Linked DNA regions of Mus musculus. The protein of the gene in region 2 interacts with the protein of the main gene of each other region in a pairwise test. Links are inferred from orthologs where the notes say so. Each region holds a gene or a part of one and is shown on either strand. Other genes may lie near its edges.

The links.
Region 1: the proteins of Ndn (region 2) and Nefl interact in binary tests that used the Homo sapiens proteins (3 or more experiments, as listed by UniProt). The link is inferred for Mus musculus from reciprocal best matches to the Homo sapiens genes NDN and NEFL.

What each region holds. Positions count from the first base shown.
Region 1 is NC_000080.6:68,082,356-68,086,830, reverse strand, and holds the start of Nefl (neurofilament light polypeptide), read right to left. Parts: upstream 2,969-4,475; 5' UTR 2,869-2,968; coding exon 1,822-2,868; intron 858-1,821; coding exon 733-857; intron 345-732; coding exon 25-344; intron 1-24. UniProt on the Homo sapiens protein: Neurofilaments usually contain three intermediate filament proteins: NEFL, NEFM, and NEFH which are involved in the maintenance of neuronal caliber.
Region 2 is NC_000073.6:62,347,068-62,350,741, reverse strand, and holds Ndn (necdin), read right to left. Parts: upstream 2,466-3,674; 5' UTR 2,335-2,465; coding exon 1,357-2,334; 3' UTR 814-1,356; downstream 1-813. UniProt on the Homo sapiens protein: Growth suppressor that facilitates the entry of the cell into cell cycle arrest.

The DNA.
Region 1 (4,475 bases), on a different chromosome or scaffold from region 2:
GTTTTTTTTTAATGCTTTTCATACCTTCTTCCTCCTCAGCGCCTTCCTCTTCCTCTCCCTCCTCTTTCTCCTTCTCCTCCTCTTCTGCTTCTCCTTCAGAGGGGGGCTCATCCTTGGCCTCCTCAGCTTTCGTAGCCTCAATGGTCTCCTCGACCTCTGTCTGCTCTTCCTGGACGTGGCTGGTATAGTAGGCTGGGAAAGAGCGAGCAGACATCAAGTAGGAGCTGCTCTGCAAGCCACTGTAAGCAGAACGGCCGAAGACCTGCGAGCTCTGAGAGTAGCCGCTGGTTATGCTACCCACGCTGGTGAAACTGAGCCTGGTCTCTTCGCCTTCCAAGAGTTTTCTGGTGGAGAGGGAATGAAGAGTACAGTTAGAGCAAGGCTGGATGTGTTCATTGCTCTAAGCCCACATTCATTACTTTCCTCTACAACCAACCTCAAAGGCAAATACAAGAACAAATACGGTTAGGCATAATCAAAATTTAATAAGGAGTTCACGAGAGACCCCACCCAAAAAGACCTTCTATGCATCCCTATTAGGTTTAAAATATGAATGCTAAGAACAGGGCTTATGTTACTTCAGGGTTAATTCCCTACACATTTGTACCCTCTTGGAGGAAGACCAAAGTAGGACTATTCTAGAGCACGTGGGACTCACTATAACTGCACTGACTGGGTCATCTGCTCTGTCCTGAGCCGCCATGCCCACTGCCAGCACCACCCTGATGTTACCTGTAAGCTGCAATCTCGATGTCCAAGGCCATCTTGACATTGAGGAGGTCCTGGTACTCCTTCAGGTACCTGGCCATCTCGCTCTTCGTGCTTCTCAGCTCATTCTCCAGTTTGTTGATTGTGTCCTGTAGGAAGATTGTTTTAAAAAATTCAAAACACAAATCTCTACTGCATTTGTTTTACTGTAGTATCCATGATAAGTTCTGGTCTTAGTTAACTCCAAAGTGTACACCTTCCAGAAATCTCCCTTAAAATAATGGGGTGGGGTGGGGCATAGGGGGAGGGGTTGGCCTAAAATGCCCAGTCTAGTGAAGCAAGAGAAGGAGAGGAGGAAGAGGAGGGGAGTAGACTGATGTGAACAATTTTGAAAATTGTTCTCAATTGATTATGGTAAGCTGTCTTTTAAAACTACCAAATTGATGATGATATTATTATTATTATTAACCACCCTTGTCACATTTCTTTTAGCCAGGTCGCATTTGGGAAGGGGAATATATATATAGTGTGTGTGTGTTTGTCTAAATAAATATATAAATAAAAATTAAATTATATATATTTGTGTAGCTGTTTGTCTAAAATGCTTCCCCCCGCCAAAGATGAAGAACTTTTTTTTTAATGGACTGCAGTGATTAATTGCTAAAATATTGTGACTGTATTCTTGTGTCCCTATTAAAAAAAAAAACTATCCCAAGGCTGGGTGGCCCAAAACTAGTGAGAGCTAGCAGGCATATTTATTAACCAGGAGATCCAGGAAGTACTGAGGGTAACTTGGGAGTTAAGGGTTGTCAGTAAAGAGAAGGCATTACTTGGCAACGCCCAACTCCGACTCCCTCCGCCCCTTCCTCCCAACTCACCCCTAACAACCCTGATTCAACCAGAACAAGCAATCCCCAGGCAGCAGTCGCGCCCCGCCCCCTCCAAATGCCCCATCCTTTCCACAACCTCTCGGAAGCCAAGCCCTCTGATAGCTGCTCTGTGCTCTAGAACCCCCTAGCGTTCACTCTCTGGGTACACCCTGACTCCCCCCCCCCCCGCCGCCGCCCCTACCGTGGACCTCCCCACCCCCACTGAGCTTAAACCGTACTATACCTGCATGGCGCTAATGTCTGCATTCTGCTTGTCCTCTAGCTCCTGCAGCTGCTTCTCCAGAGCTTCGTTCATACCCCGGCAGGCTTCGATCTCCAGGGTCTTAGCCTTGAGCAGGCGGCGGCTTTCCGACACCTCGTCCTTGGCAGCGCGCACAGCGTCGGTGTTCTTGGCGGCGCTCTCGGTTAGCACGGTGAAGCGGCTCTTGAACCACTCTTCGGCGTTCTGCATGTTCTTGGCGGCCAGCTTCTCGTACTGAGCGCGGATGTCCTTGAGAGCGGCGGAGAGGTCGGGCTTGGAGGACACGTCCATCTCCACGGAGATCTGAGCATACTGGATCTGAGCCTGCAGCTCGGCGATCTCTTCCTCGTGCACCTTCTTCAGGAAAGCTATCTCGTCCATCAGGCTGTCGATGCGCTTCTCCAGCTCGGCGCGGGCGAGCGCGGCCTCATCCGCACCTTTGCGCGCTTCCATCAGCCGGCCCTCGGCGTCCTCGCGGCTCAGCACTTCTTCCTCATAGCGAGCCTGCAGGTTGCGCAGAGTCTCCTCCAGCCCCTCGCGCTCGCCCTGCAGCGCCTGCTTCTCGTTAGTGGCGTCTTCCGCTGCCAGCCGCAGATCGCGGATCTCCTGCTCGTACAGGGCGCGGAAGCGGGAAGGCTCAGAGTGTTTCTGGCGCAGCACCAACAGCTCGGCTTCCAGGACCTTGTTCTGCTGCTCCAGCTCGTGCACGCGCTCGATGAAGCTGGCGAAGCGATCGTTGAGGTCCTGCAGCTGTGCCTTCTCTTGTGTGCGGATAGACTTGAGGTCGTTGCTGATGGCGGCTACCTGGCTCAGATCGAGATTCTCCAGGCTGGGCATCAAAGAGCCAGAGCTGGACGAGTAGCTGCGGCGCACGGACAGCGAGGAGGAGACCGGCGCGGAGTAGCTGGAGTACGCGGAGCGCGCCGTGCTGTAGCCGCTGCGCACGCTGGAGATGTGCACCCGGGGCGTCTCCACATAGCGCCGCTTGTAGGAGGTCGAAAAGTACGGATCGTAGCCGAACGAACTCATGGTGGCGGCCGGTGCGCCCCTCAGGCCCGGGGCGGAGATGGGGGACCTAGAGAGAAGAACGGGGGAGAAGAGGGAAAGGGGAGGATGGATGGCTGTGTGCGGCTCGGCGCGGTCCTGCCACCTCTATTTATACGCCGGGACTCTGACGCAGACTGTGATCGATCGCCGTGCGCAGGCCAGTGGGGGCAGCGCGTTGCTGCAGCCAAGGGGAGGATTCTGCGCAAAAGCAAAGGCGGGGGCGAACGACAGAAGGCTAGCGAGCTGCGGCTCCAGCCTGGCCGCTTTTCTATGAGGACCCCTACTTTCTCTGAGACCCCCATAACTTCCCTGCTTATTCTTTTCCTTTCCTATTCCCCCGTCCCATCCTGCCTCTTAATACCTAAAGCCCACATCACTAGGACTCTTAAATGTTCCAAATAAAAAGGTTCGCGATCCCTACTGACACATCAACTTTTAACATCCAATGTCACAAAGACACCTTCACCCCACCCCACCCCACCCCACCCCACTCCCAGCTTTCCCTTTTTGCCTCAGGGACCCTCTCAAGCACCCTGATTCGTGTTTAAGCAGCACGTTTGGGTTGCTGACAATAGCTAATGTTCTTGCGGCATTACTGCAGGAAAAGTTTTGCATGTCTTTGTAGCTATTTTCTGACGTTTTCTTAAATTCGCCCCACTTTCTCCTGCCTCCTTTTATTTTTATTTCTATTTCTTTCCGTATTACTCTTCTTCTCAATACATAGGGAAATTGCACCACTACACACCATTGGAACCGCAGGACAGCGGGTGTTCATTTTGGCATTTTAAAACCTTTACAGCAGTTAATTTGTCTGACACCTTTCATAGAATTTCCCCTTTCTTTGTGAGAAATGTAGTCGGGAATGCTTAGGAGGGGTTGGAACCAGCCAGGTAAAGATTTGCAAGGCAAAAGACGGGCGCGCTCGGCCGCGGGAGAACTTCAGGGTGCCTTTATCCTCACTGAGCTATTCATACTTCCAACGCCTCAAAAGCCTCTTCTCCTCTTTTTAACACCTGTGTGGTACCCCAACCTGATGGTTTCAACAAGCCATGAAGGTAGATGGGGAGAGAGAGAGAGAGAGAGAGAGAGAGAGAGAGAGAGAGAGAGAGACTGCTGCAAAGGGCTACCCGCTCTGGGTGTGGTCTTCAGGAAGAGAACGCTGCATGGAGCCTGCTGAAATTCACAGATAATAGATACACTTAGGAACCTATGGGCTTCCTTCAGGGAGCACCCAGATACCAGAGTGGGCACGCCAAACGCACGTGGGTGCAACATTTTCATACTCGCGTTGTGAGCGCCTGCAGTTCCGAAGAGATACTGCAGATTTGTAAGAAATAACTAAAACCTTTAAGCAAGCATTTGGCGTTTTGTTTAATTTGTTCAATGTATCGCTGGCTTGCTGATTCCTTTAAATGGCACAGTGGGAGGTTACCGTTTTCAAGTAAAAAGTAGTGAAATTTTTGGAGTTGTACTCGGTCGCTTCTGGAGACCAAACAGAGGATGAAGGGAGCTTAATTCTGTATATTCCTTTCTCGTGTTACACATACTGTGATTCTGATAACTCGCCCCTTCAAAGAAGAAAACTGGGC
Region 2 (3,674 bases):
ATACTGACTGCTGAGTGGCAAATGTGACTATGCTTCTGGGGGCAGCTCCTTAATCCCAACCCCTCCTCTATTTCATTAGTGCCATGGCTCTTACTGGTACGACTGTCAGAATAGTTTCGCTCATCTTCATCCTTCTGGAAAGATGAAATTTCAGATCTTGTTTTTACCCCTTAGCAAGATAAGGACTTGATTAGGTCATCAATTCTTTCTGAAACGAGTTTCCTAATTTGTACATTCAGAAGCTAATTTTCTGTGAAACTCTTGGAATTAATTAGAAAAATCAAACCCTTAATGCATACAGCAGGGAGGCCAGAGTGCGTGTGTGAGTGGTGGCCATGGGGAGCTTGGTGTCAAGACTCCTGTATAAAGGTTTTAGGATAGTTCATTACCAACACCCCTTTTATTTTTTCTTGCTCTGTGATGATACAGTTATTCCTTACTTCTTATGGCTGGTGGGAGGACAAAATAAAGAAGAAAATGCATGATAAGGGTTTATTCTGCTAAAGTGTCCATCAAAGACTATTTTAAAAAATGCAACAGAAAAGGGGCAGGCCCTCCATATACCTGTTATTATCCCCATGTTATGTGATAATGAGCTTTTTTGTTGTTGTTGTTATACCTTTTATGTGACAAATTGATTAAAGCACTGCAAGTTTCTTCTGAGTGGTCGTGTGGTCTCCCACTGTGTTAGGACACCGTGTTTGCTTATGCTGCACACAGGGAGAATCTTTCTCATCCCCACCCATTCCCACTCCCCCTTTCATCAAAAATAAATGCCTCCTCCCCCCCCCCAAGAAATTATTTCACAGTATCTTTAATGCTCATTTTAACGTTTATTTATGGTGGGGTTGCATACATGTTTTGTAAAGGGTGCTAAGTGCCTACACTGAGAACAGTCCAGTTCAAATCAGTCCATTCCACATGGATGCTTCCTGTGCCAGTTGAAGTCATATGGAGAAAGGCCTTGACCTTTCTCTTGCTCAGGTCTGCGTTGCTGTTAAGTCCTGCTAACTCTCCAGGGCCTTCTTTGTCGATACAGATCATCAGTCCCATACAAAGAACAAGATACAGAACACCTCAATGTATTTCACAAGTTTAGCACAGCACATCTCTTGTACAAAAATGCACGAAAGCACAAAAGTGAAAGTACCAAATACTTATCACACATGCATCAATCTTAAACACTACACGAGTACACAAATGAATAGCATTACAAGGTACAAAAGCACTGTATGGAAAACTTAAAAATTATACATGAAATACTGCACTGTGGATTTGGGATACTCTAATGACTCAACCCCACCCTTACACAGCCCTAGTATGGGTCAGAAACTATCAGTGTGCCCCTGGACCTTTTTAGTCCTCAGAGACACTGCTGCGGGGGGCCTGGGCAGCAAGATTAGCCTCCCGCAGAGCTCTGGCCTGCTCCAGAGCCTCCCTGTATCGGGAAGGCCACGCCTGGGGATCTTTCTTGAAGACTCTGGCCAGGAACTCCATGATCTGCATCTTGGTGATTTCACGGTTAGCTCTGGACCCCCAGAAGAACTCGTACTCGGGAGGCTCGATGTGGGGCACACGCTGGTACTTCAGGTAATTCTGCTGGACGAACTCCTCGGTGATTATCTTCCTCACGTCTCCGAAGGTGGAGTGCTTCTTCCAGGGCCTCAGCCCCAGGATGCGCAGCACATTCCAGACCGCACCCTCTCTGGCCCCGCGGCCCTTCACATAGATGAGGCTCAGGATCATGAGCAGGAGGCCTGTCATGGGCATACGGTTGTTGAGCGCCACCCTGTCTAGCTCCTCTGGGCTGAGGGCTTTGACCAGGGCAAACTCCATGGTGTGGAGATTGGTCAGCCTCAGGTGCAGCCCGAACACTCTGGCGAGGATGACGCTGGTGCGCCTGAGGATGCTTCTGCACCATTTCTTGTAGCTGCCCATGACCTCTTTCACCATGTCTGGAAACCAGAGGACCATCCTCTTCTGGTCCTTCACCAACACGTACCACATGAGCTCGTGCGCCTTCTGCACCAGCTGGGCAGGGGCTGGCGGTGCTGGGATCGGCCGGGCTGGACTCTGGGGCTGGTGGGCGCGGCCCTCCTCTGCGGCCTGCTGCAGGATTTTAGGGTCAACATCTTCTATCCGTTCTTCGGGCGGTGGCGAGGCCTGTTGGGCTGCCATAGGGCCTTCGGGAGCGCACGGTGGCCCTGCGAGGTTAGCGGCCAGAGAAGCGGGAGGAGGGATCCCCACCGGAACGGCATCGCTGTCCTGCATCTCACAGTCGGGGACCTCGGCTGCAAAGTTAGGGTCGCTCAGGTCCTTACTTTGTTCCGACATGTCTGCGCCTTCGGATCAGAGCAGGACCGATGCGGCTTGGAGCTCTTGGAGCGGGCACTCCCTCGGTGGAGACCAGCAGAGGAAGTGCGCTTTACTGAGCACTGCGCCTTCCGCAGCAGCGGGCGGGCGGGGCTGATGCGATATTGCGCATGCGTGTTGGGAAGCCAGAAGGGTGGTAGGGCTGGAAAGGAGCGAAGCAGCAAAGCCCAACCACTGGGGTCTAAGGGAGGGTACCACTAGGCTTATGTAAAAGATTTCCTGGTCTCCTGTATGGCACAGAACTAGATGATGGTAGGGAAAGAAACAAGTTGAAGGAGAAAGATGTAGCTGAGATGGTGAAGTTAAGTTCGGACACACTGAGTTTGTGCAAAATCAAATTAAATGTGAAGGTCCTGGAGAAAGACTTAATTCTTGATTTTGGTTTTTCTACAAAAGAATAAGAGAAACAGAAATGACTTTTTTTTCTTTTTTCTTTTGGAAAGCTGTACCTTATGATGATGATGAGTTGTTTAAGATTGGAATATTGAGAAATTATTAATAGAGATAAATTCTTACATATCTGAATGCAGATCAAACAAGGAAGAATGTAAAGTGTAGTTACAGACACTGGAGATAAATCCATGTGAGATTTGAATGTTCTAGAAGTAGTAGATTCATATAGCATAATTGATGGGAGTTTAAAATTTTAATTAAAATGAGACTTGGTTCAGTGGTTAAGAGCTTTTGCAGTTCAAGCATGAGAACCAGAATTTAAATCCCCCAGGCCCCACATGAAAATGAGGGATATATAAAATATATATATATGCATTCATTCATCATTGGATGCTCAGTTTGTTGGTTTTGAATTATTTTAATAACTATAGATTTGGGCTCTCCATTTCTATTAGGTCACTTTGTTTTCATCTAAAGCTTCCGTTAAGATTCTAGTGGAAAATGATCAACATATTTATTAATACACATTTTATGACAGTGTATTTTTCATATTTTCCCACTACCTTTTTGCCCTGCTCACTGCATCTTCTGCGTTTATAAGAAATCTTCTACTTCTTAAATTATGTCATTCACAAATGACTAATTCCATGTTGGGAGCACATCCAAATCTTTCCCAATATATTTTAAATGCAGCTCTTTTCGATACCTAACAGTCTCTCATGAATAAGATGCAACATATTGGTGTCCAAAAATAAAAAGGTAGATCGAGAGGTCATCTAAAGCTGATATTTCCTCAAACTCTCCTTTATACAATGACCATTGTTGAAGCTTCCAAAGCCAGAAGTCCTTAGATTTGATCATCTTTCTTGTTCTGAAATAATGGAATTCCTTAGCCCTTCTCATCACTT